Elephas maximus indicus: one gene and its partners. The protein of the gene in region 4 interacts with the protein of the main gene of each other region in a pairwise test. Links are inferred from orthologs where the notes say so. Each region holds a gene or a part of one and is shown on either strand. Other genes may lie near its edges.

Region 1 (7,210 bases), on a different chromosome or scaffold from region 4:
TCTGAAGGTCATCTGGCAAAAACAATGGCCATTTAGTAACATTCACCACTTATGAAGCTGCTACTCTGTGCCAGGCACTAGATAAGACTATTTGCCTGTTATTTTATTCAGTCTTCATTACACCCCAGTGGGGTAGGTATTACTGTTATCCACATTTTTCAGATGAGGAAATAAAGGATTAAAAGGTTAAGAGATGTGTCCAAAGTCATAAAGCTAGGGAGCTCCTGATCCTTCCATGTTCCCTCCTTGGTCTTCATGATAGCTTCGTGATAATTTATCAACGAACCAATCAATTGATCAGGCAACTGATATTGATTGTACACCAGCTTCTAGGAGCAACTATGGGGCCTATTGGCTCAAATGGGGTTTACACACATGTTTAAAAAACTAGATCAAATAAAATGAGAGAATAAACTAAGAAGTAGGACAATTTAGAATCAAGAAAAAAAAAATGGCTCCAACCCATAAAAATGGCAGAGAGGAGTCTCAGGATTATAGCTTAGCAGTAGGCCTGGAGAACTATTTATACGGAATAGGATAGAGTGTTCCTCATGCGAGGGCTCTAGAGAAAAACGAGATGTGATAATAAATGACATTACAAGGGTAGGACAGTGCATATGAAAAGAATTAGGAGTATGTGTATAGAAAATAATTTAAGTGAGAAACCACAAGGCAATTACTAACTCAAGAGAAAACAAAAGACTGTACAGGAAAAGAAATATAATCACAGTACTACGACTTGGCTCTGCGATGAACAATATCTGCCTGGTTAGAGTGATGCAAACAAGGAATGCCAATTTAAATAAAACTGGTGCTATACTAGATCTGGTCATATAACTCACTAAGTGGCCTCAAGCCAGACACTTCAGTCTCTGGCCCTCATGTTCCCCAGCTGCGTCTCTGGCCCTCACTTTCCCCAGCTGCAAAATTAGAATGTGAGTCCTTTCTGCATCTTTGAAGGTTGCCTAAGCCTGACAAGGTTTGAAAGGCGGCCATTTGCAGGAGCTACCTCCTCTTATGAAGAATGTTTGTCAAAGTGCTGTTAATGTTTCCAGGAAATAAAAAAGAAAGCCAGATTCTTAAAGAGTCAGCATAAAAATGGGTGTAATTAAATACAAAGCTGGCTAGTAGCGGTAGGTTTAATTTGCAATGAATTGACAAAAATCAATAACAGAAAATTAAACAATCCAACAGAAGACTATGCTAAGAATATGAACAGAATATTTAAGCTAAAATTTGCAAATGGCTAGGAAACATGAAAAAATGATTCATAATTAGAGAAATGCAAGTTCAAATGAATTAAATCATATATCTAGCAGACCCTGGCAAGGTGGCGGGGGAAAAGGCACTCTCCCAGACTGTTGGAAGGTGTGTAACATAGGGAATAATTTGTCAACCTCTACCATAACTTAAAATGTGTACACCTTCTGAGGAAACCCTGGTGGTGTAGTGGTTAAGTGCTACAGCTGCTAACCAAAGAGTCGGCAGTTCAAATCCTCCAGGCGCTCCTTGGAAACTCTATGGGGCAGTTCTACTCTGTCCTATGAGTCGACAGCACTGGGTTTGGTTTTTTTGGTTACACCTTTTTGAACTTTCAGGACTTTGTGCATACATTGGCAAAAATGTACCAAGATACAATATGTAAAAAGATATTCATTGCAGCATTGCTTGTTTTTAGAAAAATAATAAGTGAATGAGCCAGGGACTGAATAGCCACCTCTCAGTAAACCACCTATAAAGGGCAGCCCCTGGTGGCAGCGTTTGGTAGTGCAGGCATAGTGTTTAGGAGGCAATTTCCTGGGTGCTAGTGTTTTTTTAATGTTTTAGGAATTTAAAAAAAAATTTTTTTTTTTTTTTTTAGTGATTTAGTGATTATCACTCTTGTTGACTCACCTTGAACTGAATTGTCAGCAGTCTTAAGTGTGTTGTCAACAGTCTCAAGTGTGTTGTCAACAGTCTCAAGTCCTTTGTCAAGAATAGGTTTCAAATTGTCCAAAACATTCGGGTCATTGCCAAAATTCCCAAGAAGGGACGCTGAGGTCCCAGTGAGCAGACCGCACAAGAGAGCAAGTTTCCAAAGCTGAAACATCTTTTATCCTGACACCTGGACAGTCATAGGAAGAAGAGGAGAGAGAATTACCCAGAGGGAAAAGGAATATTCAACGAGCAACAACCACTCTTGCACTTAAAGTCCCTTTGAGGTAGAAGTGGTTATCTCCTATCTTACAGATGGGCATTCAAGGTCAGAAAGCTAGAGCAACTTGTCCAGAGACACACAGCCAGTGAGTGGAAGAGCAAGGAGCTGAAAAGTCAGACCTGACTCCAAGTCTGTGCTCTTTACACAAAGGTCCTTTGCACATGCTGTTTTCTCTGCCTAAACCATCTTTCCTCTTCCTCACTTTTTTACCTAAGTCAAATTACCTAAATTAACTCAATTCCTCTGATTCTCCAGGCCTAAGCAAGACATTATGCCCTCCGTGAAGCCTATCCTAGGTCCCTCCCCAGAGTCTACATTTAGGGGACTCTGTCCCACCACCTTGGCTTCCTTCATTCTCTGATCAGAGTCCTGGGTTCCAAAAGCCTGACGACTTGTTTGCCTCTCCCACCAGGCTATGAACCCCTCGGAGGAGGGACTGTGACTTATTTTACTGTCAAATCCCCAGCCCCCAGTAGAATGCCTGCACTAAGCAGGTGTTCAATTAATATTTGTTGGATAAAAGAATGAACCAATCAATGCACACCACATCATGCCCTTGCATTGCTCAACAGTTTGACAATTCTCTTACTATAATCTATATATCTCTTAATTTGCTATATTCAAAATATTAGGTGATCCAAGTGGACCTATCTTTTTGCCTCTTTCCCCCAAAGCAAGGGGTGTGGGTGGGGGGTAAGCCCACCACTCACAGATTTGGAGGAGGATGCTCACAAAATCCTTGCTCTCCTGCGTGGTCTCCTAGGATTCTGCTGGGTGGCAGTGGCTCTTATATGGTGGCAATACGATGTGAGGCTGCTCACGGAAGCAAGGCCTAGTTCCGGGGCCATCCAAGGAAACTCCAAAGAAAATAACTCCTGTTCAGGAGACTTCCAACCCAAAGGTCACCCAGGATGCTTGAATTGAAATGGTTGAGTAGGGGGAGGATTTTCTGCCAAGACTAAGACAAGGACTTCAAGGGGCCTCTAGCTGCCAAGGGGTGGCCATTGTGAATGGGGGGCTGGGAGAGAGACTGAGAATAGACAAACTGGAGAATCCAGGTGGGAAGGCCCACAGAGATCATCCAGTCTAACTGTCATTTGGAAATTGCGGCTCAGAGAGAAGAAGCAACCAGCCCAAGGTAAGACAAGGTCAAAGATGGGACTAGAACGGCGGCCCAGTGAGAGTCAGGCTCGGCTGCCTGAGGGGTCATTCTGCCCAACCCTCTCTGGCATCTGAGTGGCTTCTACAACATCTTTCATGGGACTGAGCCTGCCTCGGTTCAAATGTTTGGGGTGATGGAGAGGTCACTGCCTGTTCTGTCTAGTTGGTAAAAAGTTCCTTCTAAGAGTGAACAAAGCCTGCCCCCATGCCACCAATGTGTATGGGCAGCAGTGAGGCCCAGAGGAGTTAAGTGCCTTGCCTGAGTCTGCACAGCCAGTGTCAGAAGACACAATACCAACAGCCTCCTTGTCCTTGGTCTCCCTCTGCCACACTTGCCACCATCCAGGCCACTGTCAAGCAGCGGGTTAAATCCAACATCCTTACCTGTGTCATCTGCCCCTGCTGCCTCTCCAAACTCATCCCCATCCCTCTCCCCCTTGATCTCATTGATCTTCTGTTCTAGAAAGATGGCAACCTCCTTTCTACCTTGGGCCTCTGCGTAGGCCATTCTCTCTGCCCAGAACCCTTCTGCCCAGCTGCCTCTATGTCACCTCCTGGAACGCCCTCCCTGACTGCCCACCTGGAATAGCATCTCCCCATTACCCTCAGTCTCAGCTCTTCCCTCCCTTCTTTCACAGTGTGATCACAATCGGAATTGATTGTACTTACGGTTTTCTGCTCTTAGCGAGTGATTCCCGCCCTGTGCTCCAGAGCTCTCCTCCATGCAGGTCTCCAAGACCCTGACCTGCCCCTAGCGTGCTCAGGGTCTCTCTGGGGCATCCCATAAGGCCAGCCACTGCCTGGGAAGGTGGTGAGATCCCCAGGACCAGAGATGTTCAGAAATGGGACTAAATAACTCCTACAATCCTGATGATTGGATATGATGGTGAGCCGTGATTCTAAATTCCCACAGCTCTATTGTTCAAAGAAGGTCCTGGGTAGCACAAATTGTTTGTGCTCAACTACTAACCTAAAGGTTGGTGGTTTGAACCCACTCAGTGGTCCTGTGGAAGAAGGGCCTGGCAACCTGCTTTCATAAAGATTATGGCCAAGAAAACCTTATGGTGCAGTTCTACTCTGTAACACATGGGGTCTCCATGAGTCAGAATTGACTTAACAGCAACAGATTTGGTTATTGTACGAAGACCGTTGTGCACATTTTTATGATTCTTCCCCTCAAGTTTTGTCTCCACTTAATTCCAGCCACCCCCACATAGAGATATTTTTCCCTCGGCCTTCCTGTCTCTTTCCTTTTCTCCCCCTCTGCACCCCCCAATACTTGAACTTCACCCTGGCACGGGCCCTTAGAGCCACGGTGACTGGTGCTGGAGGCTGGTTTTCAGCACAATCACACCCAAGACAAAGCCAGCCTTCTCCTGTGGCATCGGTCGCCTCTCACAGCTAAGCTCTGGTGTGACATTGAGCTAAAAGCTCTCAGTCCCCTGGGAGGGAGGCTGTAAAGCAGGCAGAGGCCCCATTCTCTCACATGTAGCTCAAAGGTTCTAGATTCTAAGGAGCCATTATTTAGGGTCACCCACTCCTCTGTTTTTTTTTTTTTTTTTTTTTTACTCCTCTGTAGCCTCACTGGCCCCAGGCCACATGGGGACAGGACTTTGCCATTCCTCTTCAAGATCCCTCCCCCTAAAGCACTGGGGGAACCTCCGAGTCTTAAATTTTCCAAAGTGGAGAGAAACCACGACCCCCTTCTTTGTGAAGTCCTCTAGGCTCTATTCCTGATGGTGTGTGTGTAGCTCTACAACAAGTACACATATTCTTACACATGTGTGCACCCACACGCATGCATGCGCACACACACACACACACAAGAACAAGACAGCACAAACTAGATCCATATGAAGAAAACAAACACACTTCTCTGCCTGCAATGAGAACTTTTTACCAAATTATGGGCACCATGTTAGCTTCCCCCCGTTCTGAATGAAAGAGCTCTTTCCCCTTACAGGAGGATATGGGTCTGCCTGGGTCTGATTTCTTTCCTTAGAGACTTTAGACATTAATACAATTTATCTGTCAAAATGCACCAGAAATTGGTGCCAATACTAAAGAAATGAGAAGACACGTCATTAGAGTTCCTGGATCTAGATGTTCCTGAAGCTATATACCCCTTTTCAATTCAAATAAAATTCCATCCTTCCCTCGTTTTTTTGTTATTGTGCGAGTCAGTGTGAGCTGGATTCCTGTCACTGAAACCCTCAGCAGCCCTGACTCATACGTTGATGGATTCAACATCGGCCCTCTCCTCTCTGACGGTTGCTCACGAGTCACGTGACCACGCTTGAACCATCATAGACACCAAGCTCAGAGGGGAGCATAGAGCTCATCCATTCAGCCTCCTCACTGGGGAGCCTGAGGAACCTATGGCCCAGAGAGGAAAAGGGACTCACTCAGGGCCACACTGTGACCTTGAACCCCACTTACTTTCTTCTTTTTGTTGCATATCTTTTAGTTTTGTTGGAATTTTCTGCTTGAGGCAAATCCCACTGCCATTGAATAGATCCTGACTCATGGTGACCCTGTAGGACAGAGTAGAACGGCTCCATAGGCTTTCCAAGGCTGTAAATCTTTATGGAAGTAGACTGCCACATCTTTCTCTTGCAGAATGGCTGGTGGGTTAGCCTTTTTAAAAGTAAAATGATGAAACAAAATTACCTAGGAAGCTTGTTTAAAATACAGATTCTTGAGTCACATCCCTAGATTATTTTGGTCAGGGAGTCTGAGGTGGAGCCCAAGAGTGGTCTGGTCTAGACTACTGGGAGTAGTCTGCTAGGACTGGGAACCACTGGGCTAGAGAGCTCAAAGGAGCCCTCCACCTCCAGCCTGTGAGCTGGGACCCCGTCACCTAGCTTCCAGTGCCCCAACTCAGCCTACACATCACACTCCTAACAGTACAGCTCATGTGCACTGCACTTTACAGTGTAGTCTGACCACCGTGTAGAAACACAGGCCCAGAAGAGCAGGCTGTTGGTGATAACAGCTGCCGTTTATTTGGTGCCTGCTGTATACCAGGGCTTTTCCTGCATCATCTTGTTTCATTCCCTTGCAGAGGGTGTACTTTTCTCATTTTCCAGATAAGGAAACCGAGGCCCAGAAGGGGAGAATGACTTGCTCAAGGCCACACAGATAAGAAGGGGCAGAGCTGGAAGCTGGACTCAGGTCTCTGCTGACACCAGATACTGATAGCGGCTGATCCAGTTTTCTGTCTCCCCAGGTCAACGGTGTGTCCATTCTTCTCCTGCTCCAGTGCCCAGGACCCAACACCCACTGGGGGAAGGAACATCCTGGCTGCTGCTGTGTGCGTGGCGCTGGGCTTGGCACTTTAGAGACATGCCCATCTTAGTCCTCCCAGCAACTCTGGGAGGCTGGCTTTGAGAGTCTCATTTTCCAGTTGAGGAAACTAAGGTTCAGAGAGGTGAAGTGGCTTGTGCTCACCTCACAAGAACAAAGAATGGGCATTTGGGCCCCCGGGGAGTTCTTTCCACCCCTGTCATGCTGAGGCTGGTGTGATAAGGGCTTGAATATCCTGTTTATCCCTCTGTCTCTGCTGTTTGAGTTGGTTGTAACCCCTGGTGCGTTGGGCCTGTGTCAACCCAGAACAGGGCACGGAAGTTCAGATGGGTGCCCACTTGGCATCGGGCTATGGAGGACTGGCCTACTGTCTCTACCCGCTCTGCTTGCCCACCTGCAGCTCAGCAAGGACCTGGTGGGGCCACAGCAGCACCTTGTAATAGTAGATGATCAGTGACTGTTTATTGAGTCGTTACATCACTATTATGATTATTAGAGACCTTGCTCTTCAATGACTTCCCCTCCAGGGGCAGTGACGTTGCTCTG
Region 2 (7,929 bases), on a different chromosome or scaffold from region 4:
GCTGAGGTGGCGTTCGGGAACCACTGTCTCCAGGCCCCTCTGCAGAGCCAAGGGGTCAGGGAAATGTATCAGCACAGCCTCGATGGGGCAGATGTGTAAAGGGGCCTCCACCCAGTCGCTAGCTGCATGACACCTCGGCCTCATTTTGCTCACCTGTGAAGTGGGGACAACAGCAAGGCCCTCATGTCTAGTGAGTGCTCGATAACAAGCTCTCATTGTTCCCAGCTCCGAACACCTTTGCCCTATAGTTAAGACATCTTCCTGCAAAATCAGGGAGTTTGGGCTCTGGCCTCTCCCTTGGACAAGTCCTGCCCTCTCTGGGCCTTGGTTTCTCCATCTGAGGCTTCCCCCAGGTTCCCATGCCCCCACCATAACACTGCTGCCTCACTCTGGTACCAACAAGTGGGAAGAGAAAAACGACCCCTTCTATGCTGGGGAGAGGGGTAGCCACTTGCCTGGGGTGGCACAGGAGTCAGTGGTGGAGCCTGGGCTGAACTCAAGGACCCTGTTCATGCTGCATCTCCCAGATGTGGCGACCAGAGCGGGGCCCACCCATGTCAGGTGGGTGCCACTCACCTGGGACAGTGGGTGAGAGGGCTGGGGTGGACACAGGCTGGCTCAGGGCAGCAGGTGGGGGCTGGGGCTGGGGACGCGGCATGGCCTTGAGCAGGCTCAGCTCCTTCCAGCCATCCTCCAGGCAAGTGGTATTGCCCTTGGTTTCATCCTCCTCGTCCCTTGGGCTGGTGGCTTTGTCAATGAGCTGCAGGCAGAGCAACACATCAGAGCATCTGAGGCCTGGGCAGTTGCAGGTGAACAAAGCCCAAGGGCACAGCAAGCCCAGGGACACAGCAAGCCCAGGGACACAGCAAACCAGGTCGTGAAGGGGAAGGGGAGGTGCCCAGGCCCCAGGCCCTGCACAGCCCTGTATATTCCTGTGAGCCCAAGGGTGACCCTGCCACCCTTACCCGCTTCACAGCCAGAGTGGCAATGCCCAGCGCAGCAGCCGCGCCCACGCCCAACACCAGGCGGGCATTGGCCAGCAGGAAGTCCACGGCACTGCCCAGCACAGCATCATCTTGTCGCTTCCCTCGCTTCTGAGAGAACTCCGCCATGGTCAGCCTGTAGGAGTGGGAAGCCAGGCTCACCTGGGCAGGAGGGGCAGGGAATGGCAGCCACTAGGCCAGGTTGCTGAGTCGAGCCCACGAGGAGAGCTTCCTGGGAATTTCTCAGGAGAAAAGCCATTCGCATAGTTTCTCGGGAGGAGATGGGGGAGCTGCCCAAGCCCCCTCCCCAAAACCTGCAAACAACCCGCCCTCTGTAAAGGAGAGATCACAGAGAGACCCTCAGGCCTGTGGCAGGTCAGAGGAGGCCCATCCTCCACCCACCCACCTCCCAGGACACTACCAAACACCTGTGAGGAGAGTAGTTGTCATGGCCACCCTGACTTACACACACAGTGGGGGATGTGGACATGGACCCACACCAGCAAAGCCTTCAGCCTCCTAACCACCCCAGAGTCGGATCAGTCCTCCCTCCAGATGGCCAGTCTGAGGCTGCCTCTTCCCGAGGTTCCCAAGTGGGGCCAGCACAGCAGCTCTCCGATCTCCAATCCACTCTGTGTACTGAGGCCCAGAGAAGACCAGTGACTTGAGGTCCCAGGTCTGAGACTCCCAGACCTTGGGTGGAGACATCCGTGAAGCTCAGGGGCCACAGTTAAACTCCCAGATCTTGGCAGGGCAGCCCCTGGTAGACAGTGAAATGGCCCAGGCTGGCAGAGTCCTGCCTGCAAACGGGCAAGTGCAGGTCAAGTCTGAAGGCCCCGCTTCCAGGAGGCAGAAACTGAGGCAGCTCCAAATGTGAAGCCCCCAGAGGACTGGCCTAATTTCTCCAGACAGAGGGCTCTCCTGGCCTCTCAGGCTTGGGACAAGAGGGATGGGGAGCTGCAGAAGCCAAACAACAAAGAAAGATCACGGCCTGAGGGCCCTGCCTGTCTCCTTAACTGTCAAAGGGCACAAGCAGGGCAAGGAAGGAGAAGTGAGAGACCTGGAAGTGTGACTGCGTACTGGGGAAGTGGGAGGAGAAGACAGAGGTTTCTCCCGGGCGGCCCACCATGGTCTCAGGTTGTAGGAGGCGGACTTCTGCCCTCAGGCCCTACCCACCAACCGGAGAGCAGATGGGGGGTGGTGACCAAGGTGCAAGCTTAGAAGCAAGATGGGTCCCGTTAGAACAGTCTGAGGAGGAGGGGGCAGATGACCCTGAGTCACAGCCAACTCTGCCACCACGGACTTCTGCCGTCCCTGCCCTGCTGCGGGTGCCTGGGGCTTGGTCACAGGGTGAGAAGATGCCTGGAGCAGCTGAAGCCCAAAGCAGGCATGACTCAGCCCCAGACACCTGCCCAACAGCCCCAGCTAAAAATAGGGAGAACAAGCGAGCTCTGGGGCCTGGGGAGGTCACAGGCCTGCCAGTGACACGGGGGCCAGGAATCCACTCTGCAAAGCGCTTTAAATTCTCCCACCCGTCAAAATGGAAGTCAGCTTAGCCCCTGGTGGAGTCCCGCAGCTCCAACCCGCAGCCTTTCAACTCCGGGAGGAAGACCCCACTCTTTGCGGCCGGGCCCTGGCAGCGCTCGGGACACCGCCGCCTGAGTTACGGCCCCGCTGACTCCTGGGGGAACTGAGGTCCTGGGAAGGTGCAAAGCCTCGAGTAAGGGCAGAACCTAGACTCGAACTCTGGCCGGAGCCCTTCTCAGCTCCCTACTATGCGCGCAGACCACGCCCCCGACCGCGTCCCAGCAGAGGCCACACCCGACTGGGTGAGCGGGCAGTCCGCCGCGCTCCGGCCATACCTGCTTCGCGGCTTCAGCACACGCAGCGGAGGGCGCAGAGGGACCGCTAAGCCCCGGAGCCCCGCCCCGCTCAGGATGGAACCTGGAGGAGCCGGCACCGAACGCCGAGACCCCGGGAAACTGTAACACCTCCAGGGCCACACAGAAAAGCAGGCCGTATCTCCAATCAGAGTGCGCGGCGCTCCAGCTCACGGTCCAAAATACTGAACGGCTCAGCCAATAGCGAGCCTGCCACGCCCCCTTGCCGCTGACGCGCTCCCTGGGGGCGGGACATAGCGAACGCAGTTGTCCTTTAAAGGTACAGGACTGCATTTCGAGCACGCGCAGGGAGGTGAAGTAGCAGTGTTCCTGTGCGGCGCAGCCACCGTGGAGGTCCGTAGTGACGCGGTTTTTGCTTGCGCTGGGAGCATCCGGTGTGGAGAAAGCCATCCGGGCCGCGTTCGTTCTGGGCCTGGCCCGTAGGCTGCAGCCAGACCCCCTTTCATATGATCTCCTTAGGTCGCCCTTGGAGTGGGCCTTGATGACCTCATGGACATTACCTGTTGGCCCACCAGGCACAGTGTGGCAAGACAGCACATCCCTGCCACCTGCCCTGTGTGAACTCACATAGGCCGTTTCTTCACCTGGGCCTCAGTTTTCTCTTCTGTGAAATGGGAACACGGGACTCTCCCAATAACAGCTGTGAAATCTCTCGGCTTTTATTTGTGAGACCTCGTGAACTAGATGGACAAAGATGGAAGCCTCCCTTCTGGAGCCTGCGTTGGGCGTGGGGGTGGGGCGAGTAAGCAAATAAATGACCAGCGAGGTGGGTGTTGAGTATCAGAAGGAGCAGTAATGACGCGCCACTTATTGAGCCCTGCTGTATGCGGGGAGCTACGCGTGGATTTGCTGGGGAAGCGTTTTATAGATGAGGAATCTGAAGCCGGAAGCAGGCCTTGGGGCCTGCCCAGAGCTCTACACCCGAGGGCGAGACTTAGTAACCCCGTCGGCCATGCCGGGCCTAGCGCCCCCAGGCCTGGGTCCAGACTGTCTGTCTCCCAGGGTCACTGCAGCAGCACGGGGGTCAGTGCCTGGCCCTGCGGGGCCCTGACACCCTCCCCTCCGGCCCCACCAAGGTTGTCAGCGCTCCCGCCGAGGGCCCGGCACGGTTTTCCGGCAGGCGCCGGCGGGTTAAGGGGGCGGGGCCCGCCCGGCACAGCTATAGGTCCGCCCTCCATCCGCCCGGTCCGCCCTCTGCGCTGCCGACCGCTGCGACTGCGGCGCCATGGAGGCCACTGGGGTGCTGCCGTTCGTGCGAGGCGTGGACCTCAGCGGCAACGACTTCAAGGTGAGCCGCGGTGGGCCCCTGCGCCGCCTGCCGCGCTCGGCCCGCCGGCCCGCGCTTCCTGCCCGCCCGCCGCGGACCCGCCTGTGGCCGGGATGGGGCTCCCTGCGCCCTGCCAGAGCCCGACCCCAGGCCTCCGCGCGGGCCCGGCCGGGCACGCCGAGACCGGGAGGGGCGGGCGACGCTCACGTCCGGAGTCACTCCAGGGCCTGAGGCTGAGAGAAGGGGGATCCATCTAGGAGCCCCTCCTCGGGCCCCATTCCGGGTCTGGGCCCCGCCCAGCCACCTCCCCAGCTTCCACCCCCGCCCTTCTGAGGCCACACACCCAAGTAAGGCCCTGACTCACGCCCGGGCTGCCCGGGGCGGGGCTGGAGCCCGCCGTCACTGCTTTGTCCCCGCCACTGCCACCCCATCCTGTGTGGTCTTGGGAAAGTCGCTTCCCCTCTTAGAGCCGCCCATCCAGACGGGGGACTTAACAGCACAACTCTCAGAGGCCTGGGAAGGTCGTGAGGATTAACGGGTATGGAGAGTGTCAGGCAGGTGTGCCAGGTCCTGGGTGGGGTTGTCTGATCTGTCGCCCCCCCGGGGGGTGGGGCCTCAGTGAGCAGCTGCTGGAATGGTAGAGGAGGGGATCAAGGAACCCCAGCCAGTTGTGGGGAAGAGGAGGTGATTCTAGAGAGTCTGTGCCCAGAGAGAAACGGTGGCAGGAGGTCAGCACAGGTTCGAGCTGGCCTGGGGCTGCAAGATTCCTGGCCCAGGCTTTGGCTGGGGTCAGGAGTCAGCCAGAGCTGAGGCCAAGGAGGCAGGCTCCTCCTGTGTTTATCCTACCTGGTGCACAGGTGGCCACCCCACTACTTTCTGTCCCCATCTCCACCCTTCTCACCAGGGGTCTCCTCTCTGAGTCACCAGCAGAGAATGTGGTCCTAGTGGGAAGGAGATGCCAGCAATGGGCAATGAAGGCATGTACTGCCACAACCCTGTCACAGGGCCAGGAATGCTGAGGGGCACACCAGCCACCCCAGATCCCTCCACTTTGTGTTGGGGGAGTGAATAAACCAATGAATGAATGAATGAGCCTGTGTGGGATGTGGAGTTGGGCCCTGGCACAGTGGGAATTGGACCTGGGGGTTGATGGCATTGGAGGCATAGACAGGGCCTTGCAGCCAGGCCTGGAATGCTGGCGAAGGAATTTAGCCCATGCTGACACAAAGCTGGTACATATGCTGACCAGGCCCTGGGCTGGGTGCTGGGGCTGTCACCTGCAACAAGCCTGTTCTCTCCTGGCCCTCCCAGGCCTCAGAGTCTAGTGGGAGAGCTAGATTTGGGGCCAACCTAATAATTAGTCCCTCCTCAGAACACTTGTCACATGGAGGCTTTTATTAGCTCCATTTGATGGGTAAGGAAATCAACACACAAGAGTGGCGAAGTGACTTGTCCAAGATTGCACAGCTGGCGAGAGGTGGCTCTGTTGGTCCCCAGAGGCTCCCTTGAGCAGTGGGAGCCGCAGAGGGTGGTGGAACTGAGGCACCAGAAGGGGTGCTCCCTTCTCCCAGCCCACCCCACCATGATATTGTCCCACCTCAGGGTGGCTACTTCCCTGAGAATGTCAAGGCTATGACCAGCCTGCGATGGCTGAAGCTGAACCGCACTGGCCTCTGCTACCTGCCGGAGGAGCTGGCTGCCTTGCAGAAGCTGGTAAGGAGCTCCAGGTGGACAGGGAGGGTCTGTGGGGATGAGACTGGACCAGGCAAGCAGAGGCTATGCCGAGAGCAGCCGACACAGAGAAAGACCATTCTGACAGCTATTATCAGAGCTGGCAGAGAGGGAGTGAGTACCCTGTCCCAGGAGCTGTGCAAGAAGAAATCGGGCCTATGAGGGAGGGAAACAGCAGAGGTGGACTGGGCCTACGTAGCAGAAGGCCCTTCTGGATGGAACAAGGTTATGGTGGTGGATGAGGATCCTCTAGCCATCCCACCCATCCCACTAAGCTCCTGCTATTCTGACCGGCCCCAGGAGCACTTGTCTGTGAGCCACAACAACCTGACCACGCTTCACGGGGAGCTGTCCAGCCTGCCATCGCTGCGGGTGAGTGCGGGCAGGGAGGCCACCAGCCTTGGGGTGGGGTGGCGTCCTGCCAGAAGAGGGAGGGCAGGATCAGACCTCAGGCCGGGCCAGCATCTGTGCGACCCCCGTACATACGTGTAAAGGGAAGAAGACAAAACGATGCCCTGTGTAAAGTAAACCACGTGAATTAAAATTCCATGGGGAAAATGTTAAAAAGTTGAAAACCGCATCTACTTTGGGCAACAAATAAAACTACAGCAGTGATAGTCAACACAGGTCGAGTACTGTTCTGCTTTGTAGATTTTTTCATGTAATCCTAGCTGTTACCTAATTTATAAGAAGCCTTGGTGATGTAACAGTTAAGCACTCTGCTGCTAACCAAAAAGTTGGTGGTTTGAACCGACACAGTGGCTCTGAGAGATAGACCTGACAACCTGCTCCCATAAAGATTACAGCCTAGAAAACCCTATCGGGCAGTTCTGTTTTGTCACATGGGGTCACTTTGAGTTGAAATTGACTCAGCAGCACCTGAGAACAACAACAACAACCTGTTTCACAGATAGGAGACTTACTCATGGAGACCAAGTCACCCACCCAAGGTGGCATATACAGGCAGTATTAGAGCTGGGATTGGATGGAGTTCAGCTGGGAGAGAGAGATAGTCAGGGTGGTCCCTGTGCTGGGCTCTGGGACACATTTGAGCTGGGCTTTCAGGTGTGATAGGAGTTTACCAGAAAGCTAGGAAGAGCCCACCTGGTGGAGGGACTGTATAAGCAAAAGGCTCAGAGGTGTGAGAGCACTCAGGCCTGACTTCTGGTGGGCTTCCTGGAGGAGACCTGTTTGCTTCTTCCTGGGGGCAGAAGCCAGGAGTCATGGTTTATTCCCAGGCCATTGTGGCTCGAGCCAACAGCCTGAAGAATTCTGGAGTACCTGATGACATCTTCAAGCTGGATGACCTCTCAGTCCTGGTCAGTGGTTATCCATCCACCTGGCCCCTCCTCAGGCCCTGACCCTTCAGTCCCCATCCACCCCCCCATCTATAGTCCCCAGGGACCATTGCTAACCCCTTTTATAGATGGGGAAACTGAGGCTCAGAGTGGGCAATGCCTTGCCAGAGGCCCCTCATGGAGACAGATGTCTAACTCAAGCACTCTTCATCCAGGGTCCCCATTGTCTCGCTTTAATTTAGTCATTCCCCACTCAGTGCTCCTCCTGATTCCCAGGACCTGGCAGAGACCTGGCTGGGTAGGCCCAGCCCCCAACATCCCTCACCAGGGCTTGCCCCTCCCACCCAGGACTTGAGCTACAACCAGCTGACGGAGTGCCCGCGGGAGCTGGAGAATGCCAAGAACATGCTGGTGCTGAATCTCAGCCACAACAGGTGCTTGTCGCACTGGGTGGGAGATCAGGGTGGGGGAGGGAGGCCCAGGCCACAACAATGCAACAGCCAGGTGGGCCTGGATGTGGATGTCGGGCCAACTCAGGCAGCCCCTGCCTGCCTCCCTCTCTCTCTCTTCCTCCCTCCCTCCGGCTGCAGCATCGACACCATCCCCAATCAGCTCTTCATCAACCTCACAGACCTGCTGTACCTGGACCTCAGCGAGAACCGCCTGGAGAGCTTACCTCCGCAGATGCGCCGTCTGGTGCAGCTGCAGACGCTAGTGCTCAATGGGAACCCGCTGCTGCACGCACAGCT
Region 3 (7,649 bases), on a different chromosome or scaffold from region 4:
TATAAAATTCCTTTAACTTTTCGGTAGGTTTGAATTTTTAATAATAAAATATTCGGAGAAAAGGGTCAGTTTTAACAATATTTTTTACCTTTTTGAATGCTTGATGTCTCAGTCATTTACATTCACAATTTTCTCTAATCTTCAGAAACAATCGAGGTGGGAAACTAAGGCTTAGGGAGGGGCATCCCCTCATCCTCCAAGTAAAAGTTAACTGGATGTCTGCCCTGTGCCACGCACTGTGTTAGGCGCTTGTATCAGCTAGTTTTTGCCGATATGACGTTGCATAACGAACAACTAGAAACTATCAATGGCATACAACAACGTTTACTGTGTGTTGGGCTGCAGTCAACAGCAGGTAGGCTGGTGGTTTTGCTGATCTCTGCTAGGCTTAATCCTGCGTCTGAGGGAGTGGGGGTGGCTGGCTGCTGGCTGATCTAGAGGGCCTTGGCTGGGATGACTTGGCGCTGGTCCTTGTGTCTCTTACTTCCTCCTGGCACAGGTGGGCTATGCTGGGCACATCTTTCTCATGGTGAGAGGAGAGAGCAAGAAAACAGTTGTTGTGGAGTCACTTCCAACTCGCGGCCGGGGTAGATCTGTGCTCCACAGGGTTTTCAAAGGCTGGTTTTTTAGAAGTAGATTACCAGGCCTTTCCTACAAGGTGACTCTGGGTGGACTTGAAGTTCCAAACTTCCTGTTAGTAGCTAAGCGCATTAACCATTTATACCTAGGGACTAGAGAGCAAGAATACAGGTAGAAACGCACAGGTGTCTTCTCAAGTCAGCATCTCTGGGTGACACAAATGGTTTGCGCTTGTCTACTAACCTAAAGGAGACGCTGGTGGTGTAGTGGTTAAAAGCTACGGCTACTAGCCAAAAGGTTGGCAGTTTGAATCCATTAGGCGCTCCTTGGAAACCCTATGGGGCGATTCTACTCTGTCCTTTAGGGTCGCTATGAGTCTGAATCGACTCGATGGCAATGGGTTTGGTTTTGGTTTTTTTGTTTGTTTACTAACCTAAAGGTTGGCAGTTCGAACCCACCCAGCAGTATCACGGAAGAAAGGTCTGTAGATCTGTTTTCATGAAGATTATGCCAAGAAAACCTCACTGAACAGTTCTGTTCTAACACACAAGGGGTCACCATGGCTTGGAATCTACTAGACAGCAATGGGTTATCTTTTTTCTTTTTTTTCCCCACAAGTCTCTGCAGGCATCAAGAACTGAAAAAACCAAACCTGTTGCCATCAAGTCTTATCCTGCTCATAGCATCAGATCTACTAAAATCCCATCAGCCAAAGCAAATCACAGACTGAACTCAGCGTCAAGGGGCAGAGAAATAGACCATGCCTCTTTAGTGAGAGGAACTGCAAAGTCCCATGGCAAAGGGAAGAATGAAGAGCTGGGGCCATTAGTACAACCAATCTTGACAAATCACAGTGGGAGAACACAAAACCTCCAGTGGGAGAAAGCAACTTGCCAATTACAACAGAAAAAAAGAGATTTGGTCAAGGTCATTGAGAAAAAAAAAGCACCAGAGCTGGGATTCTACCCAGCTCTGATACCAAGGCCGACTTCAGACCTCACTAACCCCTTTGTGCTCACTGCTGTACAGTGAAAAACTCCTGAGATGGACAGGATTTTCCCTGCAATTGATCAATCATGCTAGTTAGGAAACTTCCCTCAGGTTTGTAAATAAAATTTTTTATTAAGGTAAATATGCACACTCTTATGAAAATTAGATAAGAAAAAAAAAGCGTTACTAAAAAGCAATCGTTCTCTCCTACATCCCTCTCCCCCAGGCCCATGTCCCAAAGGGAATGAATTTCAACTATTTTAACTGCTGCCATTTTCCTCTAAATAATGTACTTATTCTGCTATTTCTTCTTTTTCTGTGTGACCTGTAAGGATTTACACCCGCATCTTCACTCCCCACGTCCTCCTGACACAGATTTATGTTATTTTTATACATATAGTAATTGCCTTTGTAACTTTATTTCATATTCATCACCCATCCGATCTTCTGATGCCTCAGTTTGTAAGGTAAGGAAATTAGCTGCTCTCTTGCCTCTCAACTACTGTCCAGCGTAACCTTAGCAGTCCAAGGGATCATTTACATTCTATTATCTAACTGGGAGCAAGTGTACTTTATTCATAGGTTGATGCTAAGAATTTAAAAAATCAATGATGTTTACATTTTGAACCCATTTTTGACACACAGAAGGGAAGGGTACTGGCAAAGGGAAGGATACTGGCAAAGGGAGGGGACTAACAAAGGGGCTTTTTCCACGTAGCCAACGGCAGAGCAAAATCACAGGCCACGTGCAGCACACAGCAGATGTAGTTGGCCTAAGCTGCGGTTGGTGAGACAGGAGGGGGAAGAAAGTTAGAGGGCCTGGATCGCTGACCTGATCTGCTCCCCGTTCCCTACCAGGGACCCTAGAATTATGGATCCATGTGATCCCTACCATGACTCAGTGATTCCCAGGTCAGCTCGCTTCACTTCCCTTTTTCCCTGCCCCCCTCCCCCTCCATGGAACCAGTGCCTACCAGATCCCTCAAGGCTTTGCAGATAGTGAAAATGATTCCTCCTCCTGAAAAAGGTTTGCAATACCTAGTACAGAGGAGAAGGAGCCCGGGGTGCACACTGGTTAAGCTCTTGTCTGCTAACCGAAAGGTCAGCGGTTCAAACCCACCAGCCTCTGTGTGGCAGGAAAGACATGGCAATCTGTTCCCATACAGGTTACAGCCTTGGAAACCCTATGGGGCAGTTCTACTCTGTCCTATAGGGTCACTGTGAGTTGGAATTGACTCGATGGTACACAACAACAACAGCCCAGTGGAAGGCCTTAGAATGTAGGCGGGGAGGAAGGAGAGAATGGAGAAAGAAATAATCAGTGACAGCTAGCTGAGTACAGGTCAGTGTCACCTCACTCAAATCTTACCCCAACCCTTTTTGTGAGGTTGGTATTATTATCTTCATTTTACACGCTGAAGAGACCTGCTGACTTGCCCAAAGCCACAAAGTGACTGTTGGAGAGTCTTGGCTTGTACTCCTGCTCACTGTTCCCACTGCTTGGCCTCGGGCAAGTGACTACACCTCTCTGGGACTGAGTTCCTTCCTAAAATCAGAGACATGTTCCAAGGTGTGTCTGTCCCTGCAAGGCTGCTGTGAGGACTGGAGATAATGTCCATGAAGAAACCTGGCATATGTGTCTGCCCTGTTAACTGGTGGTTGTGATTCCATGGGTGGTGGCATATCACTGCTGCCTCCTCAGGAACCTTCTGGAGGCAGAAGAGTTAGGAATGCCCAGTGTCTGGGAAAGTCAAGGCTGGAGCAAGATTTAAGGAGGAACTCTCTCCAGGACTGACCTCAAACTAGCAAAGAGGAGGGCCTGCGAGATCAGTATCCATTCCTCAATTCACAAGCCCAGAAAGGGGCAGCGATTTACCCAAGGTCACCCAGCAGTCTAGTGGCTGAGCCTGCCAGGAAGGGCAATACCCAGGACTTGGGGACTTCTCCATGCCCCACATTCCCCAGCTGGACTATCAGAGGCAGAGCACTACTCTAATTAGAAAGGCAAGTCTCTGCAAGTCCAGGTCCTCATAATCTCTGCTCCTTTGTCTTCCCTCCTGCCACCCCCAGTTTGAAGTGTGGGGGACCCCTCCAGGAGCCAGAACTCCAGGAGTTTTTGAGGTCACTCTGAGGACCATGAAGAGAAGCAGAGTGGACTCCTCATGACCTCAGTGGAGCCACAGTTCCCAGAGAGGGCAAATGTCACCTCTGCCTGGCCCTGCTTACAACATGCCTCGAGGTCAGGTGAAGGGAGGTCATCCTGCAGGCCTTTCCCTCATTTCTCTCCCCGTGCTCCTCTGGAGGAAAAGTAGAGGCTACGCCAAGACACATTTATAAACTGTGCCACTCTGGCTGGCCAGGCACTACCCCCTTCCTCAGCCAGGACGAGAGTTGGACCTTCTTTCCGTTGCAGCTCAGCCCAGGTGTTAAGGACCCTAAGGAGGGGTGGGAGGAGAGTAAGAAGGGTCTGTGGGGGAAGCCTTCCAGCCAACGCCTACGACATGGCATCGTACGGGGACTGTGTTAGGGACGAGCTAGGTGAGCAGAAAAACATGACAGACAGGTCCCAGTCTCTGATACCACCTTCTCTTGTAAGGTCAACCCAACCCGACCGTGGAGACGCAGTGGGAGGGATGCGAGGCTGCCTCGTTCGAGAGGGGTCCCTCCGTAAACTGACGCTTGGCCTCAGCCAAGACTCAGCCCCTCGTCTGCGGGCCTGGAGGGAGCTCACCCACTGCACCCTTTGTCTCGGCGGCCTTCTCTCCCCTCCTCCCACGGCCGTCTGCTCCAGCTGGCACGCCTTGGGATTGTTCCATGCTGGCTCCTTTGGGCTCTGGCTCGCGACTCCGGGAGCCAGCACGTGACCCGCCCGCTAAACCCGCCGCGGGACCAGTCTTGGCCTTGCCGCCCCGCCCCGCATTTGAGCTCCCCGGCTCCCCCTCTAAGAAATCCACAAACTCTTGCGCCACAATACCTAGGCCCCAGTGGTTGGGAGGCGAGACCCGCCTGGGGCTGCCGCCCGGGCCTTGGGACCTGGACAGAAACCAAAGCAGTTCTCAGAGGGTGGAAGGGGGAGGGCCGCGGGTCCGAAGGAAGGTGGCCCGGAGCGGGGCCACCTCCCCCTCGCCTCGCCTCGCCCCGCCCCGCCAGTCCAAGGCTTCCGCACCCCATAGGCAGCGGCGACCCTTCCCGCCTCCCCGTCGGCTCCCAGCTAGCCCCGCCTCGGCTTACTTTAAAAGTTTACTTGGCCTGGGACTGGGTCAAAGCGAGCCATGGCTGTCTGCTCCGGGATGCTGCGCCTCGGGAGGCTGTGTGCGGGGAGCCCGAGGGCGCTGGGGGCCCGGGCCATCTTCTCCCGAGGCTGGCGGGAAGCGATCTTGCAGGGAGTCCGCTCTGTCAGGTACCCCCCCGCCCCGGGGAGGAGAGGAGGTGGGGCAGCCCCCCCGGAGGAGCCCGTGGGGGCCCTGCTGAGCCCACGGCAGCCCCACCTCTGGGTGGCGTGCACTGGGGAGTAGTACCCAAAACCCTAGCACCTAGGCAACGTCCTAGGTGCTAGCGTGTGGGGTGGTCGGCGCGGGCTGGATCAGCAGCTGGTGGCTGACCTTGACCCTCTGCTGACCTTGTTTCCGGTCCTGGACTCTAGACTCTTCCCATCCTGGGCATATAAAGGGCCAGGGCTGCGGGCCTTAAGCAGTTCAGCCTGAGAGGGAGGGTCAAGGGCCAAGGCCGGGACACTGCCTCTGAGCTGGACCCCATTCTGGGATAAACTTGGGCATTCTGCCTCCCCCAGGCCACTAAACTTGGTGTCTTCCCAGAAGCCTTATCAGCTGCTGGTAAACACTGCTTTTGCTCCTTCTAAGAGGCCCTGGTGGTGCAGTGGTTAAGCACTCTGCTGCTAACCACAAGGTAGGTGGTTGTAGAATCCACCATCTGCGCTGCAGGAGAAAGATGTGGCAGTCTGCTTCCCAAAAGATTACAGCCTAGGAAACCCTTAGGGAGCTGTGCTGTTCAGTTCTGTCCTATTAGGTGTGGCTACGAGTCAGAATTGACTTCACCACACACAGCAACCTACCCCTGGGCCTGTTTTCTTTTGTCCTGCTTGCAAGTGGTTCCCATTGGCTTTGCTGCAATAAGTAGGAATCCTTAAGATTGCAAATATAAAATAGCATTGGTTACACAGAGCTAGGCTCCCTGGGATGCTATCAGTGGTGGTTATCTTAGCACCCAGCAGAGGGAGGCGTGGGCACAACTGGGCCTGCTCTTAGCCCTGTTACCCAGCAAGGTCATGATACTACGTCTGTGGTCAGGACTGGATTTTGGACACCAAACAGGGTATGGGCCTGGGCTGGGAAAAGGAAGCAAAAGCCTGAACAGGGCTGTTTGAGAGAATTCAATTTGGTGAACAACAACAAAAAATAGTCAAGGTGGGGAAACTTGGAGGGAGATGCAAATTCCTCTGTTGGCTAGAATTCTAAAATTACGTTTTGAACTTGATGGTTCTTGAAAGCTAGAAAGCTCATCAGGTTTTAACATCTTTAATATCACTATTCCTGGTTTTCTGGGAAAGCCCAGTGGGTTAAGGCAGTGGCCGTTCAGTGGTAGAATTCTTGCCTTCCATGTGGAAGCCTGGGTTTGATTCCCGACAAATGCCCCTCATGTGCAGCTACCACCATCTGTCAGTGGAGGCTTACATGTTGCTATGATACTGAACAGGTTTCAATGGAGCTTCTAGAGTAAGACCGACTAGGAAGAAAGACCTGGAGATTTACTTCCAAAAGTCAACCAATGAAAACTTTATGGATCACTGGATCACAACAGTCTAACCCATAACAGATTGCAGGGATGGTGCAGGACCAGGCAGTGTTATGCATGGGGTCTCTGTGAGCCAGGATAGCTAACAACAAGGCCATGTTATCTGTCATGCTGTGGATATAGAGACCATAGAACTCAGTCCTCAGCCCTCAAGGGGCCTGAGGTCTGATAGGGTGGAAAGATAAATCAACATATGGTCCCATTGGGTGTTCCAGGTGTCAAAGAGCAGAAAGCTCCCAGCTTCTGTCCACTGCTCTTCCTGATCTGGTCACACACACAGCCTAACACCCCAGGCCTATGGGTTTTTGCATCCCCACTTTTGCCAGATAGGAAGGAGCAAGAACCTTCAAACCAAACTACTGACTTAGGTTACAGCTTTGACTCCTCCACCTACTGGCTACATGTTCTTTGGGCGTGTTACCTAACCTCTGAACCAGGTTAGATTATTGCTAATACTACCTATTGCTGAGTTATTAGGTTGAAAAAGGCTTGCTCCTCTCTCCAGCCTTTTCTTTGGAGCAGGGCTGGTCCCTGAGAACTTTCAAATGATGTCTGGGTAGGATTCCAACTGATGTGAGAGTACGAAAGGATCCCCTTCTCAACAGCCTTTTCCCTGGACTTGGTCCTCTCTCCTGGCCAGTTGCCAAGATGGTAGCTTCTGCCCGGACACAAGTCCAGTCTTTGGGCCTACTGGACACCCATTTCTCCATCAAAGGCAGGGCTATCCAGAGCCTTCTTCCTGGGAGGAAAGAGGAGCTGTCTGTTCTCTGGATCCCCGAACCACCCACTCCTCCTTTGTCCACATACCCTCTTTGCCCCAAGGCAAGTTGGATGGGCTAGTTTGGGGCTTCAGGGAAACTTGGAGAGAGGAATCCAAGGAGAAACCTGAATATGAGCAGGCCTCCTCCACACCTCCCCAAAAGCTGACCTAGGGCTGCCTGGGAGACAGCTGCATCTGGGGTGTTGGGAGCACTCAGAGCTGGGGAAGAGGGAGAGAACAGTGGCTTAAGCCTTCCAATATTGGGCATGATGCTTAGAGCTGGGACTCCAGTGACACAGTGCTGATGGTAGGGGTGGAGGTGTGCGTGGACTTTATGGTCTACCTTCCAGGGAGGAGGATGACTGTCATCAGATGGTCTTGGCAACTTAAACACTGTTTCTATATGAAGGACTTATATTAACCCAGGAAGTGTTTGGGTGGAAATCATAAGTAGTTACAAAAAATAGACTCTTCCCATAGATCTCTAAAAGATGATTTACAAATGATT
Region 4 (7,675 bases):
CAACACTATTCCTCCGCAGTGTGCTGGAATGCCGAGGCTGATCTCCCAGGCTCTGCTAGTAGGAAATGGGATATGGCTGTTGTAATAGGTTGAATAGAGCCCTCCTAAAAGATACATCCAAGTCCTAACCACTGGGAGCTATGAATGGGAACTTATTTGGAAAAAAGATCTTTGGGGATATAATTAAGTTAAGGATTTTGAGATGAGATCATCCTGGATTTAGGGTGGGCCCTAAATCCAATGTTTTTGTTAGCTGCCATTGAGTTAGCCCCTGACACGTGGCAATCTCATGCGCAGTGAAACAAAGCACTGTCTGGTCCTGTCCCATCCCTATGATAGGTTGCAGACCAACCCGCTGTGACCCACAGGGTTTTTATGGGCTGATTTTGGAAGTATATAGCCAGGCCTTTTTTCCTAGTCTGGTTTAGTCTGGAAGCTTCCTTAAAACCTATTCAGCATCATACCAACACACAAGCCTCCACTGATAGGTGGGAGCGCATGAGGTGTATTGGTTAGGGAATCGAACCCGGTATTCTGCATGGAAGGTGAGAATTCTAGCACTGAACTACCAAAAACCAAACTGTTGCCATCGAGTTGATTCTGACTCATAGCGACTCTATGGGACAGGGTAGAACTGCCACATATGGTTTCCAAGGAGCGCCTGGTGCACTCAAACTGCCGACCCGTTGGTTAGCAGCCCAGCTCTTAACCACTGCGCTACCAGGGCTCCACAGTGACCCCAAATCCAGTGACAGTGTTTTTATAAGAGAAAGACAGGGAGAAATTTGAGACACAGACACAGGAAAGGCCACATAAAGACAAAGGCAGAGATTAGAATGACGCTGCCACAAGCCAAGGAATGCCTGGATCTACCAGAAGCTGGAAGAAGACTTCAGAGGGGGCACCACCCTGCCGACACCTTGATTTTGTACTGTGAGCCTCTGGAACTGTGAGGGAATAATTCCTGTTGTTTTAAGCCACCCAGTTTGTGGTGAACAAGCCCTGATGGTAAAGTGGTCAAGCCCTCAGCTGCTAACCAAAAGGTCGGCAGTTTGAACCCACCAGCCGTTCTGCAGGAGAAAGATGTGGCAGTCTGCTTCCATAAAAATTACAGTCTTGGAAACCTTATGGGGCAATTCTACTCTGTCCTGTGGGTTCACTATGAGTCGGAATTGACAGAACAGCAACAGGCTTGGTTTGGTTTGGAGTTTGTGATTTGTTATAGCACCTGTAGAAAAGTAATGCAGGTGTCTTCTCACCACTTTGCCCAACACGTGGGCCTTCCCCTGCCTCTTCAATTCAACAGGCATTTATCCTGGACTTGTCCTCACAAGACCTGCTGCATCAGCTTCCAAGGGCTGCTGTAACAAAGTATCACAACAGAAATGTATTGTCTCACAGTTCTGGAGGCTAGGAGTCTGAATTCAGGCTGTTTACAGGGCCCTGAATCGACTCGATGGCACTGGGTCTGGGTTCTCTCAGAAGGCTCCAGGGCAAGACTCTTTCTTGTCTCTCCCAGCTTCTCGTAGTAGCTGCCGGCATTCCTTGGCTTGCAGATACATCTTCACATGGCCAGCCTTCCTCTTTCTGTCTCTCTTTCACAGGGCCATCAGTCAGATTGGATTAGGACTCACTCTATTCTAGTATGGTTCTGTGGTGGTGCAGTGGTTAATTGTTTGGCTGCTAACCAAAAAGTCGGCAGTTCAAATCCACCAGCCACTCTGGAAGCCCCATGGGGCAGTTACAGTCTGTCCTATAGGTTCGCTATGAGTCAGAATCGAGTCGACAGCAACGAGTTTGGTTTTAGTTTTCTACTCTAGTATGACTTCATGTTAACCTAACAGACAATATCTCCAAAGACCCTATTTCCAAACCAGGCCAAGTTTGAAGGTACCAGGGGTTAAAACTTAAATATATCATTTTGGGGGACCCAGTTCAATCCATAACACAAATATGGTGTCTGTCTTAGTCATCTAGTGCTGCCGTAACAGAAATACCACAAGTGGATGGTTTTAACAAAGAGAAATTTATTTTCTCACAGTCTAGTAGGTTCCAAGTCCAAATTCAGGATGTCAGCTCCAGGGGAAGGCTCTCTCTCTGTTGGCTCTGAAGGAAGGTCCTTGTCCTCAATCTTCCCCTGGTCGAGGAGCTTCTCAGGTGCAGGGACCCCGTGTCCAAAGGATGCTCTCTGCTCCTAGTGCTTCTTTCTTAGTGGTATGAGGTCCCCAACTCTCTGCTTGCTTCCCTTTCGTTTTATCTCTTGAAAGATAAAAGGTGGTGCAGGCCACACCCCAGGGAAATTCCCTTTGGATCAGGGAGGTGACCTGAGTAAGGGTGGTGTTACAATCCTACCCTAATCCTCTTAACATAAAATTACAATCACAAAATGGAGGACAACTGTACAATACTGGGAATTATGGCCTAACCAAGTTGACAGATATTTCTGGTGGGACACAATTCAATCCATGACAGTGTCTATGAGTTGGTGTATATTTGTTCATTCACTGAGCACCTACTATATGCCAGCCACTGGGCTAAGGTCTGAGGAGGCAACATCCTCCTAGCTTATAGTCTAGGTCGGGGGACAGGCAATAAATAGTAAACAAATAATTTAACAGGGCAATCCTTCAGATATTGATAAGTGCTAAGAAGAGAATAAAATAAGGCAATACAACCACCTTGGAAAACAGTTTGCCAGTTTCTTAAAAAGTTTGGCTGCCATATGATACAGCCATAGCACTCCTAGGTATTTACCCTCCCAAAACAAAAACCAAACCCATTGCTGTCAAGTCGATTCCAACTCATAGTGACCCTGTAGGGCAGTGTAGTATTGCCCTACGGGTTTTTCAAGGAGCGGCTGGTAGATTTGAACTGCTGATCTTTTGGTTAGCAGCCAAGCTTTTAACCACTGTGCCATCAGGGCAATTTACCCTAGTAGGTGTTTAATAACTATGCACTGAATGAATGATTGAATGAATGAATGAATCTATTATATGTCTGGTTCTTTGTCGAGCGTGCAAGGTGCCTTTTTTCTTTTTGAGCTGAGACAGGATTGGTGAAGGACATGAAAAATTTAAACTTGAATTTTCCAAAGTATGCTCACTAAAAATATGACCTGAAGCCTTGTGGAATGTCCTTTGTGGGGATCCATTTGTTCTTCCTAGTCAGGAGCAGGGCAGGGCAGGACCTCTGGATCCTTTGAGGATACAGAGAGTTTCATTCTCCTTTGTTCTTCCTCAGTGCTCTGGCCAGCTGGGTCTCGCTCTGGCCCTCCCTCTGCCTCTCATGCTTCTGGCCTCAGCTAGTGGAATGAATACAGTATCAGTGTGTGAGCTGCAGGGACCCGCCACAGACCCGGCCTTGTCCTTCATCCCTCTCCAACCTGTCCTCCCCTCCTCACTGTGCTCCATCCTTTTCAACTCAGCCTGGTCTGTGTCTTTGTGACAATGCAAGCAGTGTAGCTCAAGGTTAAACGTGCAGGTTCTGAAGCCAGACCTCCGGGGTTCCCAACCCACTTGTAGTACTAGCCAGTGAAGTGACTTTTGGCAAGCCACATAATATCTCTTAACTCCAATTTCCTAACTGTAAATAAGAATAGTACCTACACCATGAGGTTGTTGCAAGCATTTACTATGAAGTGCTTTTCACAGCCCTGGTTAAGAGCTTGGCTGCTAACCAGAAGGTCAGCAGCTTGAATCCACCAGCTGCTCCTTGGAAACCCTCTGGGGCAGTTCTACCCTGTCCTGTAGGGTCTCTATGAGTCAGAAGGTTTTTTTTTTTTTACAACAAAATAAGTACTTAATAAATGTCAGCTCTAATCACATAAATTGTTTGTTTTGCATTCTCTCCTTATGAGATGATCATTGCTCACGGTCTTATTACACACTAACAGGCTCAGATTAAACATGTGTGTCATTAGAACTGTATCGCATAGAGTTTTTAAAAGTAGATCACCAGGCCTGTCGTCCGAGGTGCCTCTGGGTGGATTTGAACAGCTGACCTTTCGGTTAGTAGCTCGGTGCTTAACTATTTGCACCACCCAGGGAGCTGTGTGTACTGCCCATTTACTAAGTGCCAGGCACTCTTCTGGGCACTTTACATTGGCACTCACACCAAAAACCAAACCCACTGCCTTTGGGTCGATTCCGACTCATAGCGACCCTACAGGACAGAGTAGAACTGCCCCATAAGGTTTCCAAGGAGCTGTTGGTGGATTTGAACTGAGGCCTTTTGGTTGGCAACCGAGCTCTTAACCACCGCACCACCAGGGCTCCTCAAAGCTAGCAGGTATTGTAAATGTCTCCATTTTAACACCGGGAAAGAGGAAGTTGAGAGGGTGCCCCAGGGACTGAGACACCAGCTGTCGCTACATCCACAGTTTGCACTTGGAAGTCCCCCCAGGTTCTCGTGACTGCAGGTGGTCTCATCAGCCCAGGTGTCACCACCTGCTGGCATATTAGCCAGGCAGGACATCGCTCCCTTTGCTCAAGAAACCCCGATATTCTGCCTGCGGGCCCCCAGGAACTGCCTGGGCAGTCCAGGAGCCAGGAGGCTACAAGACAACCGGAACAGACCGACGCCGTCTCCTAGCAACCGGGCCGCGCTCACGTGGTCCGGGAGCGCGGATAGGGTTGGAGTTGCTACAACGGGCGGGGCGGGGCCGGGCAAGTTTGTTTCCAGACTTCGGAGCCGAAGAGCTCCTACCGCTGCAACGCAGGTGCACTGGGCCTGGGTCAGGATGGAGCTGCCCGCCGTGAACCTGAAGGTACGACGGGCGGGACGGGGCGGAGGTGGCCACGCCGCGGGCAGGCGGGGCGGCGGGTATCTGGGAGTGTGTTGGGTGTTTGCTTTCTATAAAGGATTTTAAAGGCGGGAGGACGGAGAGTTTGGCAGGGAGAAAGGGGAGGAGGGAACGGACACCACCCCAGGTGAGAAGGAGGTGGGGAAGGTAGGCCTCAGCGGGGAGGAGGGATCCAGAAAAAAGCGAGCAGGGAGGATCCAGAGGGGGGACTGGAGGCTGACCAGGGTCGGAAGGGCCGCCTGGTCCCGGAGCCGGCCTCCTCCAGCTGGGAGCTCCGCCCCGGAGGATTGCAGGGCCTACACGCTCAGAATTCCTGTGGGGAGGGAGGCAGGCGCGGGGGGAGGGGCCCACTGAGCGCCTGCGGCAGGGGCTTGAGGTTGGGCCACATCTCCCCCAAGGAGACGCTGAGACCACACTTTTCACTTGGGCCCCCAGTTGGGTCCTGCTAGCCTCCTTTATTCACTCAGTGAGGTTAAGAAAAGGCCCCTGGGTGGAGCAAATGGTTTGCCCTGACTGTGAACCTAAAGGTGGGCGGCTTAAACTGGATTACCAGCAGCACCGCAAAAGAAGGGCCTGGCGATCTACTTCTGTAAAGATTGCAGCCAAGAAAACCTTATGGAGCAGTTCTACTCTGTAACACATGGGGTCGCCCGCCATGAGTCAGAATCAACTGGAAGGCAACAGGTTTGGTTTTCGTTTTGGAGATTTAAGAAAATCAGATGTTGCCAGAAAGTGGTTTTCAGAATTATTAAGTCTAGCTTTCTTATTTCAAGCGAGCAGAAAAACCCCACATTGTGCACTTTGGAAGACACTGTGGGGCTTCCTGGGATGTCTTCATTTCCTGTCCTGTGTCTTCGGCGTTGTCACGATGCCAGCGGCTGTTCTTCTTTTTCTCCCCGCCCACCTCCAGCCTTCGTCTAGGTTCTGCCTGCAGACAGAGGGGCTGGGCCCTTAGCTTTGGTCTGGAAGGCTGAACCTTGGACCAAACCCGCCCATTTAAGGTCTTGGTGCAGCCTCCTTTGGGACCATATCCAGGAATGCCCTTTTACTCAGGAGTGACAAACCATTTAGCACCCCGTGGTGTGGTGCCTGGTGCAAGAAGAACCCAGGGGTGGCTGATTCCAAAACGACTCATAATCTATGTTTCGATTAGACATGCCTGTGCTGTGATTTCACCTGGGTGCAGATTTTCTTTTCAATCAGCAGATGGGAGGAGAGATCCCTGGAACAAGGGGTCGGACTTGGGTTTAAAGTTTAGCTGGGAAGAAATTCACATGAGGCCATCTGAGGTTTGTTGGTATCAGTACCCAAGTCTTTTGAGCACCTATGCTATTCCAGGTGGGTTGGGTTTAATGTAGAAGGTATACACCTGCTGACTGCCTTTCCTCTGATTAGAGATTTGCACAAACTAATTGCTAAAAATGGGAGAATCGGGTGAGGGACAGTGCTGCAGGAACTGAAAAGAAAGAAGAGAGCTCTCATTTATGGAGTATCTGTGGTGTGCCGGGATTAATTATTTAATCACAACAACCTCCCGAGCAAACTTTTGACAGATGAGCAAACTTTGGCTCAGAGAGGGTAAGTAACTTGACCCCAGAAGCCACCCTCTGCAGTGGGATGCAGAACATTTTGTTAATAAACTTTGTTATGCCCAGTGACCTAGATGTCCCCCGAAACCATTGTCCCCAGACCCCAGCCCCTGCTACTTGGTCCCTCGAAGTGTTTGGTTGTATTCAGGAAACTTCTTAGCTTTTGGCTTAGTCCAGTTGTGCTAACTTCCCCTGTGTGGTGTGTTTTTCCTTTCCTTCACCTGAGATCATTCTTGTCTACTATCTAGTTAGTGAATACCCATCTCCTTCCCTCCCCACCCTCGTAACCATCAAAGAATGTTTTCTTCTGTGTTGAAACCTTTTTTTGAGTTCTTATGATAGTGGTCTCGATACAATATTTGTCCTTTTGCGACTAAGTTCACTCAGCGTGAGGCCTTCCAGATTCATCCGTGTTGTGAGATGTTTCGTGAATTCATCATTGTTCTTTATTGTTGCGTAGTAGTCTGTTTTGTGAATGTACCATAATTTATTTATTTGTCTGTTGATGGACACCTAGGTTGTTTCTATCTTTTTGTTATTGTGAACAGTGCAGCAATGAACATGAGTGTGCATATATCTACTCATGTGATGGCTCTTATTTCTCTGGGATATATTCCAAGGAGTGGGATTGCTGGGTCATATGGTACTTCTATTTCTAGCTTTTTAAGGAAGTGCCAAATCTATTTCCAAAGTGGCTGTACCACTTTACATTCCCACCAGCAGTGTATAAGTGTTCTAGTCTCTCCACAACCTCTCCAACATTTATTATTTTGTGTTTTTTGGATTAATGCTAGCCTTGTTGGGGTGAGATGGTAACTAATTGTAGTTTTGATTTGCATTTCTCTAATGGCTAATGATTGTGAGCATTTCCTCATGTGTCTGTTAGCTGCCTGAATGTCTTCTTTGTAGAAGTGCCGGTTTTTTAATTGGTTTAGTTGTCTTTTTGTTGTTGAGGTTTTGCAGTATCTTGTAGGTTTTAGAGATTAGAACCTGACCGGATATGTTGTAGCCAAAATTTTTTTCCCCGTCTGTAGGTTGTCTTATTACTCTTTTGGTGAAGTCTTTTGATGAGCAGAAGTGTTTCATTTTTTAGGAGCTCCCAGTTATCTAGTTTCTCTTCTGGTGTTTGTGCATTGTTAGTTATGGTTTGTTTTCTGTTTATGCCATGTATTAGGGCTCCTAGCATTGTCCCTATTTTTTTCTTCCATGATCTTTCTCATTTTAGATTTTGTATTTAGGTCTTTGATACACTTTGAGTTAGTTTTTATACGTGGTGTGAGGTATG

The links.
Region 1: the proteins of AGTRAP (region 4) and BPIFA2 interact in binary tests that used the Homo sapiens proteins (3 or more experiments, as listed by UniProt). The two-hybrid records come from large-scale screens. The link is inferred for Elephas maximus indicus from reciprocal best matches to the Homo sapiens genes AGTRAP and BPIFA2.
Region 2: the proteins of AGTRAP (region 4) and MIEF2 interact in binary tests that used the Homo sapiens proteins (3 or more experiments, as listed by UniProt). The two-hybrid records come from large-scale screens. The link is inferred for Elephas maximus indicus from reciprocal best matches to the Homo sapiens genes AGTRAP and MIEF2.
Region 3: the proteins of AGTRAP (region 4) and ACSF2 interact in binary tests that used the Homo sapiens proteins (3 or more experiments, as listed by UniProt). The two-hybrid records come from large-scale screens. The link is inferred for Elephas maximus indicus from reciprocal best matches to the Homo sapiens genes AGTRAP and ACSF2.

What each region holds. Positions count from the first base shown.
Region 1 is NC_064843.1:36,398,612-36,405,821, forward strand, and holds the start of BPIFA2 (BPI fold-containing family A member 2), read right to left. Parts: upstream 3,010-7,210; 5' UTR 2,908-3,009; intron 2,105-2,907; 5' UTR 2,090-2,104; coding exon 1,894-2,089; intron 13-1,893; coding exon 1-12. UniProt on the Homo sapiens protein: Has strong antibacterial activity against P.aeruginosa.
Region 2 is NC_064820.1:214,090,847-214,098,775, forward strand, and holds the start of MIEF2 (mitochondrial dynamics protein MID49), read right to left. Parts: upstream 3,006-7,929; 5' UTR 2,846-3,005; intron 2,837-2,845; exon of another isoform or gene 1,744-2,836; 5' UTR 1,474-1,743; coding exon 1,450-1,473; intron 1,316-1,449; exon of another isoform or gene 1,146-1,315; coding exon 966-1,145; intron 761-965; coding exon 577-760; intron 40-576; coding exon 1-39. Other genes in the region: FLII (protein flightless-1 homolog), read left to right, coding at 4,110-4,172, 5,754-5,864, 6,183-6,254, 7,121-7,201, 7,529-7,614, 7,771-7,929. UniProt on the Homo sapiens protein: Mitochondrial outer membrane protein involved in the regulation of mitochondrial organization.
Region 3 is NC_064837.1:43,248,268-43,255,916, reverse strand, and holds the start of ACSF2 (medium-chain acyl-CoA ligase ACSF2, mitochondrial), read left to right. Parts: upstream 1-4,641; 5' UTR 4,642-4,841; coding exon 4,842-4,969; intron 4,970-7,649. UniProt on the Homo sapiens protein: Acyl-CoA synthases catalyze the initial reaction in fatty acid metabolism, by forming a thioester with CoA. Has some preference toward medium-chain substrates. Plays a role in adipocyte differentiation.
Region 4 is NC_064821.1:51,594,374-51,602,048, forward strand, and holds the start of AGTRAP (type-1 angiotensin II receptor-associated protein), read left to right. Parts: upstream 1-4,663; 5' UTR 4,664-4,738; coding exon 4,739-4,765; intron 4,766-7,675. UniProt on the Homo sapiens protein: Appears to be a negative regulator of type-1 angiotensin II receptor-mediated signaling by regulating receptor internalization as well as mechanism of receptor desensitization such as phosphorylation.